Caenorhabditis elegans: one gene and its partner. The protein of the gene in region 1 interacts with the protein of each later gene in a pairwise test. Each region holds a gene or a part of one and is shown on either strand. Other genes may lie near its edges.

The links.
Region 2: the proteins of rpn-8 (region 1) and rpn-9 interact in a two-hybrid assay, tested with the Caenorhabditis elegans proteins (3 studies listed by BioGRID).

The regions. Positions count from the first base shown.
Region 1 is NC_003279.8:4,173,371-4,177,840, forward strand, and holds rpn-8 (26S proteasome non-ATPase regulatory subunit 7), read left to right. Parts: upstream 1-1,948; 5' UTR 1,949-1,952; coding exon 1,953-2,072; intron 2,073-2,125; coding exon 2,126-2,270; intron 2,271-2,314; coding exon 2,315-2,400; intron 2,401-2,460; coding exon 2,461-2,517; intron 2,518-2,626; exon of another isoform or gene 2,627-2,694; intron 2,695-2,984; coding exon 2,985-3,113; intron 3,114-3,162; coding exon 3,163-3,561; intron 3,562-3,607; coding exon 3,608-3,760; 3' UTR 3,761-3,901; downstream 3,902-4,470. Other genes in the region: R12E2.11 (Orotate phosphoribosyltransferase), read right to left, coding at 1-253; mrps-6 (Small ribosomal subunit protein bS6m), read right to left, coding at 601-819, 988-1,066, 1,116-1,261, 1,325-1,369; R12E2.13 (MIR domain-containing protein), read right to left, coding at 4,048-4,221, 4,285-4,374, 4,424-4,470.
Region 2 is NC_003280.10:11,236,897-11,240,747, reverse strand, and holds rpn-9 (26S proteasome non-ATPase regulatory subunit 13), read left to right. Parts: upstream 1-1,828; 5' UTR 1,829-1,829; coding exon 1,830-1,924; intron 1,925-1,973; coding exon 1,974-2,553; intron 2,554-2,602; coding exon 2,603-2,989; intron 2,990-3,039; coding exon 3,040-3,141; 3' UTR 3,142-3,301; downstream 3,302-3,851. Other genes in the region: T06D8.9 (Store-operated calcium entry-associated regulatory factor), read right to left, coding at 1-180, 235-623, 676-905, 955-1,030; FUN14 domain-containing protein fndc-1, read left to right, coding at 3,429-3,599, 3,652-3,788.

The DNA of each region.
Region 1 (4,470 bases):
CGACAATTTTCTCACACATAGCTTGAGCAGCCATTCGGAGCACACGAGGAGAGCTCATTATTCTGCGAAGATCTATGTAGATTGGAGTCATCTGGCCAGATTTGAGGTAGAACTCCCCAGTGCGAAAACATTCCATTTGATAGAGATTCTCGAAAAAATCAGTTTCCTGGATTGGTGAAGCGGCCTGGACTTTCATGACGACTGGATCCTCGATTGAGTGATTTCCGTTGGCGGTAGCGGTGGCGGCGGTCATTCTGAATTTTTAACAATTTTCGAATATCAATGTGAAACAGGTTATTTTCTTTCAATAGAAAAGTGAACAAATATCACTTGGTCAGATGAACCAGGTACGTGATTTGAAGGAAGAAAAATAAATAAATAAAAATGTGATATTCATGAAACAAAACAAATCAATTCAACTTTAAGAAAACAAAAATCACTCTATAAATCCTAAAACTGTACAGAAGAATCGAGAAAACAGACAACGCAAAGTACGAAAAGATAGCCTCGTTTGATAACACTATCATAAGGAGGTGTGGCCAAAAGTGCATTGTCGGCGATCTTCGACCCGTAAATTTAAGTCGATTACGAATTTCATGTCTAGGGCCTTGGCGGAGCAATTGGGTAACTCTTCGGGATACTCTTCCACTCCTTTTCAGTACGTTTGTAGATCATCTGTCGCGTGAAATGACCCATCTTTTGATTTTCTCTCAAATCCTTGACTGCTTGACGTTCGGCAGGAGATTTGAGGATTTCTTCCAGATTGCATTCAACCTTTGGAGCCGGCAGTGTGTCCACTTGAATTAGATCGACTTGAACCTGAAAAAATATGGTTCAGATTTTTGTAATGACCAAAAAGTGACAAATTAATTTAGAAAAAGAACAAAACAACATTCGAAATGAATCTAAACAAAGAAAACTTTTAAACAATAAGACCCGATCATACATCAACATCAGATAATATATAATGAAATTTAACTAACTCACCGTGTCCAGGTCATGTGTCAAAATAGACTTTGTTTTCTGTCTAGCTTCCCGAGACATGTGCGCCTTGAAGAGGAAGAAACTGCAAAGAACAAACAATTTTTTTAAGATATATAGTTTTTAAATATTACTTTGAAGCGTAGACGGGCTCATTTGTCTGTTTGGCCAGCCGTTTATACGGTAAATCTCGATGACCCAGTGACTCAACCTTTTCAATTACTGCTCCGTGATCCAGCAAAGTGTTTCCAGCACGCGTTAAAGCTTTAACAAGATCTGCCTGAAATAAAGAATATTCTCATGATTATACACATTCTCACGCTTCATCGTGTTTTTTCTGTACCTTTGACAGAGATCGTGTGATCATGCTCACTTCATAAAACGGCATTGTTGTTCTCGCCCAGTATGAATGCTTTTTCTTCACTGAAAATATTTTCTATGCTACGAATTTGGAAATATGTCAATGAAAATCACGATAAGAAATCACAGCACAAGCTATTTTTCCAAAATAGGAAGTTGCCATTTTTCAACGACAGGCTGTGAACACAAGATTATTAAACAAAAATTTACTAGAACAATAAAATAAATGTTCAATTTTCAATTTTTCGCATTAGAAAGTTAATTTTCCGTCATTGCAATCGAAAAAAGTTAATTTTAAAGTAAAGAACCAGGAAAAATAAAGTGGAAATACGGGATGGGTCTCACCACGGCCAGTGTCGATTTACGGGGAAATTGCATGCGCCTTTAAACGATGATATTTCTTTTTTGAACGGGAAGCGGGAAATTGTCGTTTTTAAGCATTATTTATTTATTTCTTTTCATTTTTTCATTCAAATTATATTCTAGATACGTTTATGGCAGGTTTTTCCGCAATGATTAAGCGTTTCTCACTGTTATGTCGATTATTAACGTGTTAAACTGTTATGTGTTGATTTTTTATTGTGATAAATTTATTTTCGTTTTTTAGAAGAATGGCTCCAACTAACAAAGACGGAGATGTGGCGACTGTCAAAGCTGTAGATGTTCTCAAACAAAAGGCTGGAGCCCATCATTGCCTTGGAAATGTTCATGCAAACCTTCCCGTTAATAAGGTTAGCATACCTGAGCGAGAAAATTCGATTTTAAATAAACACAATTATTTAAGGTGACCGTCCATCCATTGGTTCTTCTGAGTGTTGTTGATCATTTCAATCGTGTCAGCAAAACTCAAAGCGTGAAGCGTGTTGTTGGAGTCCTTTTGGGGTCCATGAAAAAGGACAAAACTCTGGATATTGGAAACAGTTTTGCTGGTATTTTTAAAAATTTATTTGCTTACTTATAAAGTAATTTTCAGTTCCGTTTGATGAAGATGACAAGGATAAAAGTACATGGTTCCTCGACATGGACTATTTGGAGAGCATGTATGGAATGTTCTACAAGGTTGGTGAATTTTGAAATCTCGTTTTTATTTAATTTTAAACAAAAAAAATGAATTTACAGGTTGCCGCCAAGGAAAAAATCGTCGGATGGTATCATACGGGTCCAAAACTTCACAAGGTATATAAGAGGCAAAAAAGAGACGGGGACAACGCGCGTAGTGGTCTAGTGGCTAGCAGGCACACACTCTGCGCCTCCAGCCATTGGTTCGATTTCTCATTCCACTCGGGTTTGTGATGACTGCATACGGATCACTGGGCTCTGAATCTCTATGAACCGATAATATCCGTTCTGATACCCGTTTTTACGGTTTCATGATCGATGGAGCGCGAACTTGTTTAAATTTGAAATTATACTGTGCAAATAACAACAAAGCAAAAAAAAAAAAACTTAAAACAAATCAAATCAAAACTTTTGAAAAAAATCGAAAAAAATGCAGTGGATACCTGACAAAAAAAAAAGAAAAAACCGTGTCACAGTGTTGCGAAATTACGCTCCGCCTTACTTTCTGTGCCACCCTGATTTTTGCAAAATTACGGTGTTCAACTTCAACAGTTTAATTAATTATTTATTTATTAATTTTACAGAACGATATTGCTATCAACGAGCAATTGAAACGATTCTGCCCGAACCCGGTTCTTGTAATTATCGATGCTGAGCCAAAGAACATCGGATTGCCAACAGAGGCTTACATCGAAGTTCAGGAAGTTCACGATGTACGTTTCAAAATACTGTTTAATTTTTTTTCAATATATTGTTTTGTAGGATGGAACTCCACCAATCAAAACCTTCGAGCATGTGCCTTCAGATATCGGAGCCGAAGAAGCTGAGGAAGTTGGAGTCGAGCATCTTTTGAGAGATATCAAGGACCAAACTGCTGGAACTCTTTCACAGCGTATCACCGATCAACTTATGGGCTTGAGAGGACTGCAATCACAGCTTGAATCCATTGAGAAGTATCTTCATGATATTGTGCGCGGAACTCTTCCAGTCAACCATCATGTCATTTACTATGTTCAAGAAGTTCTCAATCTCCTGCCTGACGTCACTCATCCAGACTACATTGTTTCACAGAATGTGCAAACTAATGATCAGCTCATGTGTGTGTATATGGGATCTCTTGTACGATCGGTGGTCGCTTTGCACAACTTAATTGATAACAAGGTGATTTGCAAAGATTTTAAAATTTATTAAAAGCTATGATTTTTAGATCTCTCTCCAGAAGGCTGAAAAGGAGCAGGAAACTGGCGAAGCTGAGAAAAAGAAGGATGAAAAGGATAAGAAAGACAAAAAGGATGAAAAGAAGGATGAGAAAAAGGAAAAGGACAGTAAATCATCAACCCCTAATACTCCAAAGAAGTGATAAACAAACTCAGAACATTGATTGTATCCTCATGTCCACTTCTCCACCAATCTCTTTTTCTTTTACCCTATCGCATCATATACATTTAATTTATTCGGTCTTTTATTTTTCTGTGCATCAATGTAGTATTTTATCCCCGGTATTTAGATCAGTTGCCAATAATTTTTCAGAAGACAAAATCTAATAACTTTATTAGAAAAAATAACAAAGATAACATCCCCGTAAAGCAATGGTAAATATCACGAAGAAAGGCATGGCTTATTAAATTAGGAGTATCCAATGTGGATTTAAAGATCTTTTTGCTGATGCTTGATGTAAATGCCTTCGGCAACTTTCCATGCACTTCCACCAGTGATCGAGTCGGTGCCGACGACCTCCCGTTGTCCATGAATGGGGCGTCCGAATTGTTGTCCCGAGAGTGAGAGGTATGAACCAGTGACAGCGTGGCGAAGTTTGAATTGCTAAAGTGAACAATATAGGGTATTCAAAACGTATAGATAATATCGAAAAGGAATGTAACAAACCTCGGATTCCAACCACTCATCTCCGTTGCAAATCACAGTCCAATCATCTCCCGTGTCACTTTCTGCTTCGCTGCCAAAAGCGGAGACCTCCTTTAAAAAATCAAATTATTCATTTGTTTTCTCGAATTGCCAAACAAACCTGATGTTGTTTGGAGAGAGGTGCAGTGAAATGATGGGAATGCAGGA
Region 2 (3,851 bases), on another chromosome or scaffold:
CTTGAGAAGCCTGTGTCTTGGAAGAATCCTCTGTTGTATCGTGGACGGGCGTAGGCATTGTTATTGTTGAGGAAGCTGGATGCCAGGTATCCTCCAATGGCTCCTAGACTTGCTCCAGTCCAAAACGATCCACCATTGTTGGCGCCACTGCCACTTGCTCCTCCGCTAGAACTTCCCTGACTGAAAAACTTAATTTTAATGAAAATAAGGTCATTTTTATTTAAAATTCCTTACCATCCACCTCCAGATTGCGAGTCACCACGGAACCCATATGGCGGTGGCTTGGAGTAGTCGTCATATGGTGGAGGAGCACTTGGATAACCACCTGGACCACCACCTCCTCCGCCGGATCCTGGGCCTCCAGGACCTCCTGATCCACCAGAAGTGTAGCCAGAGCTTTCTGGGTTCTGATTTCTGTTAGTCCACATCGCGTAGATAATGTAGGCGATGAAGGCGACGACGACGAACGTGGCGAACTGATCCCATCGATCCTGGGATGACTTTCGAGAAACTGATCTGTTACCGCTCGCAGAATTGTACTCGAGCTCATACTCCAACCCGCAAGATCCTCTCAGGATGTATGGATCCTCTGCGTAATCGTATCCTTCACATGAAACACTGATCTGAAACAAGAAACATTTTTTGAAGCGAGATGGAAATATTTAAAAAACTAACGGATCCGAATTCCATATCATGTGGCAAATCTGCATCACATCTCCACTGCACATCCGAACCATCAAAACCTTGATTTGCACACTGAACCACCTTTGGGGTGAAGGCACCTTTCGCGGATCCACCGACACACTTCAACTGGAAGGTTGGAGAAACTCGTCGTCCTGTCGTCATTTTTCCTTTGTGTAGAGTAATTGCTGATACATCGCGAAGAAGAACTTTGTCAGAGGCCGCTGAAATTCATTTGTATTATTGAAACAAATAATCAAAAGAAAAACTTACCAGAAGTTTCGAAGAATACCACTGTGAACACCAGAAGCATCCATAAAAGGAAACTCGTTGTAAATCGAGAGATCATCTGAAAAAAGAAACTAACAATTAGGAATTTTGAACGAGTAATCAATAGAAAGTAGTATGAACATTGAAATAGTACCGGAAGATAAGAACGAAGCACCAGAGATTAATTTTGAAGCGTTGCAGTGAAAGGGAGAAAAGATGATAATGAAGAAAACGAATGATAGGATATGTGACGTGTAACAACACGGAATTTTCAGAAATTTCGAAATACTTGGATCATTTTTTTGCAAATCAAGAAAAAAGATAATACGAGAATAAGCGAGGAAAATCTATTGGATGGACACAATTTTACAGCAACGCCTTTGTTTGACATAATTTTTATTCAGAGTTGCGATTTTTATCAGATTTCGCTATAAACCAAGAAGAAAACACACAAATCTGGAAGGAAAACCTGAAAAGCTGTGTTGCCAGCTGGCGGATAAATCGAGAAGGGTGTTCGCACTTTAAAAACAATATCTTCTGTTAAAAAACAATAAAATAAATTAAGAAAAATAAATTGTTGCAAGCGCGCCCTATCGCATATGTTGAAGAGACTGTAGACGCAGACATATGGCCGTGACCGAAAACATTGTCTTTCGCGTCTCGATATTTCCAAAGTGAAAGGCCATGCGCCTTTAATTGCTGACAAATAAAATTCAAAAAAAGTTTTTTGTTTTGATTTTTGTGAGAGCGCGCTCGCCAAAAATGTTCATTTTAGCTATTCGAAATCCATTTTTGTTTTGATTGCTCCTACTCCTTCATTTTCTTTCTTCTTCACTCATTTCTCGTCTCAATTTTTAATGTATCGAGAATTTCTCAGGATGACTGCTCAAGACTACCTCAACGGAAAGCTGGCGGCTGCCAATGGACCTCTGGCCGATGACTGGAAGAATCTCAAGGAGCTCTGGGAGAAAAAGTAAGAATCAATTGTTTTTGTAGACACAAACTATTTCACTAATTTTCAGGCTCTGGCATCAACTAACGGTTCTGACACGATCCCTTGTGAAGAAGCCACAATTTGTGGCTTCAACGGACATGCACGAATTCTACAGACTGTTCGTGGCGGAGTGGGAGCTGCGTGTCAACCCTCTTCAGCTCGTCGAGATTTGCATTTCGATCGCCCAAAATATCGCGACAAAGGACAAGCAAAAATCTATGGAATTCCTGTCAAAAATTGGAAACGTCATCAACAAGGACAAGATTGCCGTTGCTCGACTTCATACCGGAGAGATTGAAGCCAGACTGGAGAACAAGGACAAAAATGGACAGATTATTGATCTGAAGAGCATTCGAACTCAAATCGATTCGACACAACACGAAGTGGACTCACTTGTCGGAGTTACAGAAGTTCATGCCCCGTTCTACCGCGTCTCATCTTTATATCTTCGTGAAGTTGGAGACTTCGCTGGATATTATCGCGAAGCTCTTCGTTATCTTGGAGTTGAGGACGCCAATAATCTGACAACAGAACAGAAGCAAGTCCATGCGGTTCTTCTCGGTTTCGCTGCTCTTCTGGGAGAAAACGTGCACAACTTCGGAGAATTGGTTTGTTGAAACTCTCAATTTAAATTCCCCCAATAAACGGTTTTTTCAGCTTGCTCACCCCATCCTCAAATCGCTCGAAGGAACTCGTGAACGCTGGATCGTGGACGTGCTTCTTGCCTTCAATTCGGGAGATTTGACGCGCTTCTTCTCGCTCGAAGGAGATTGGGGAGGCTGGGACGATTTGAAGAAGCAAAAGGATTTCCTGACTGCCAAAATCCGTCTGATGGCTGTCATGGAACTTGCAGTCTCTCGTCCAACCAAAGCCAGAAGCGTTTCATTCAAAGAAATCGCCACGAAGTGCCAGATCCCATTCGACGAAGTTGAGTTCTTGGTGATGAAGGCGTTGAGCAAGGATCTCATTCGTGGAGATATCAATCAAGTTGAGCAAGTTGTCTACGTGACATGGGTGCAGCCAAGAGTTTTAGATAATCCTCAGGTATAAGAATTGATTATAAGTTTTTAAAATACTTATTTTCTTTTTTTCAGATAATGCAAATGGCGACTCGCATTTCCGCATGGAGGAACGATGTCAACTCCATGGAAGGAATCGTCAGCAAAGAGGCACGCGAGATTCTCACTCAAAATTAAATCATCTCATTTCTTTAATTTATTTTCTCCATGCTCCCCCATCCCAATCCCGGAATCCTCTATTTTTATAATTACACTGCTACGTGTATTCTACAATTTCAAGATCGTTCAGTCTTCTTTCTGTGTGTATTTATTTGAATTCATAAATTAATCGACTGTGAATATATTGAATTTTCTCGATGTCAGATGTGACTAACACCGTGTCAATAGTTCACTAGTACTTTTCAATACTTAACATTCGGGTTCTCTTCGTCTTCGAGTAATGTAGTACTGTGATTGTTCCAGCCATGGTTGATCTTTCAAAAAACGACGGAGGCAGTGGAAAAGCCGGAAAAGGTGTGAGTGATGCCATCGATACAGTCCTCTACTACGTTGTTGATCTGAAAAAGCAGCAGCCGATGGTCCAGCTGGGTGTTGGTGCTGGATTCGGGACAGTGACTGGATATTTTGTCACCAAGGTATTTAAAATTGGTGGTTCTAGAGAAATATTTAATTTTTAAATATTTTCAGGGAGGACGTCTTGTTGCTGCCACAGTGGGAATCTCTTTCCTGTTGGCTCAATTCGCTATTCACAAAGGATACATCACGCTGAACGAATCAAAAATCGAACGAGACATGAAAAATCTACACAAGTCCGTCATGAACAAGTAAGCTTGAATTTTACGAAAAAAAAATAGAATAAAACGAAAATCGTATATTATTCAATTTTT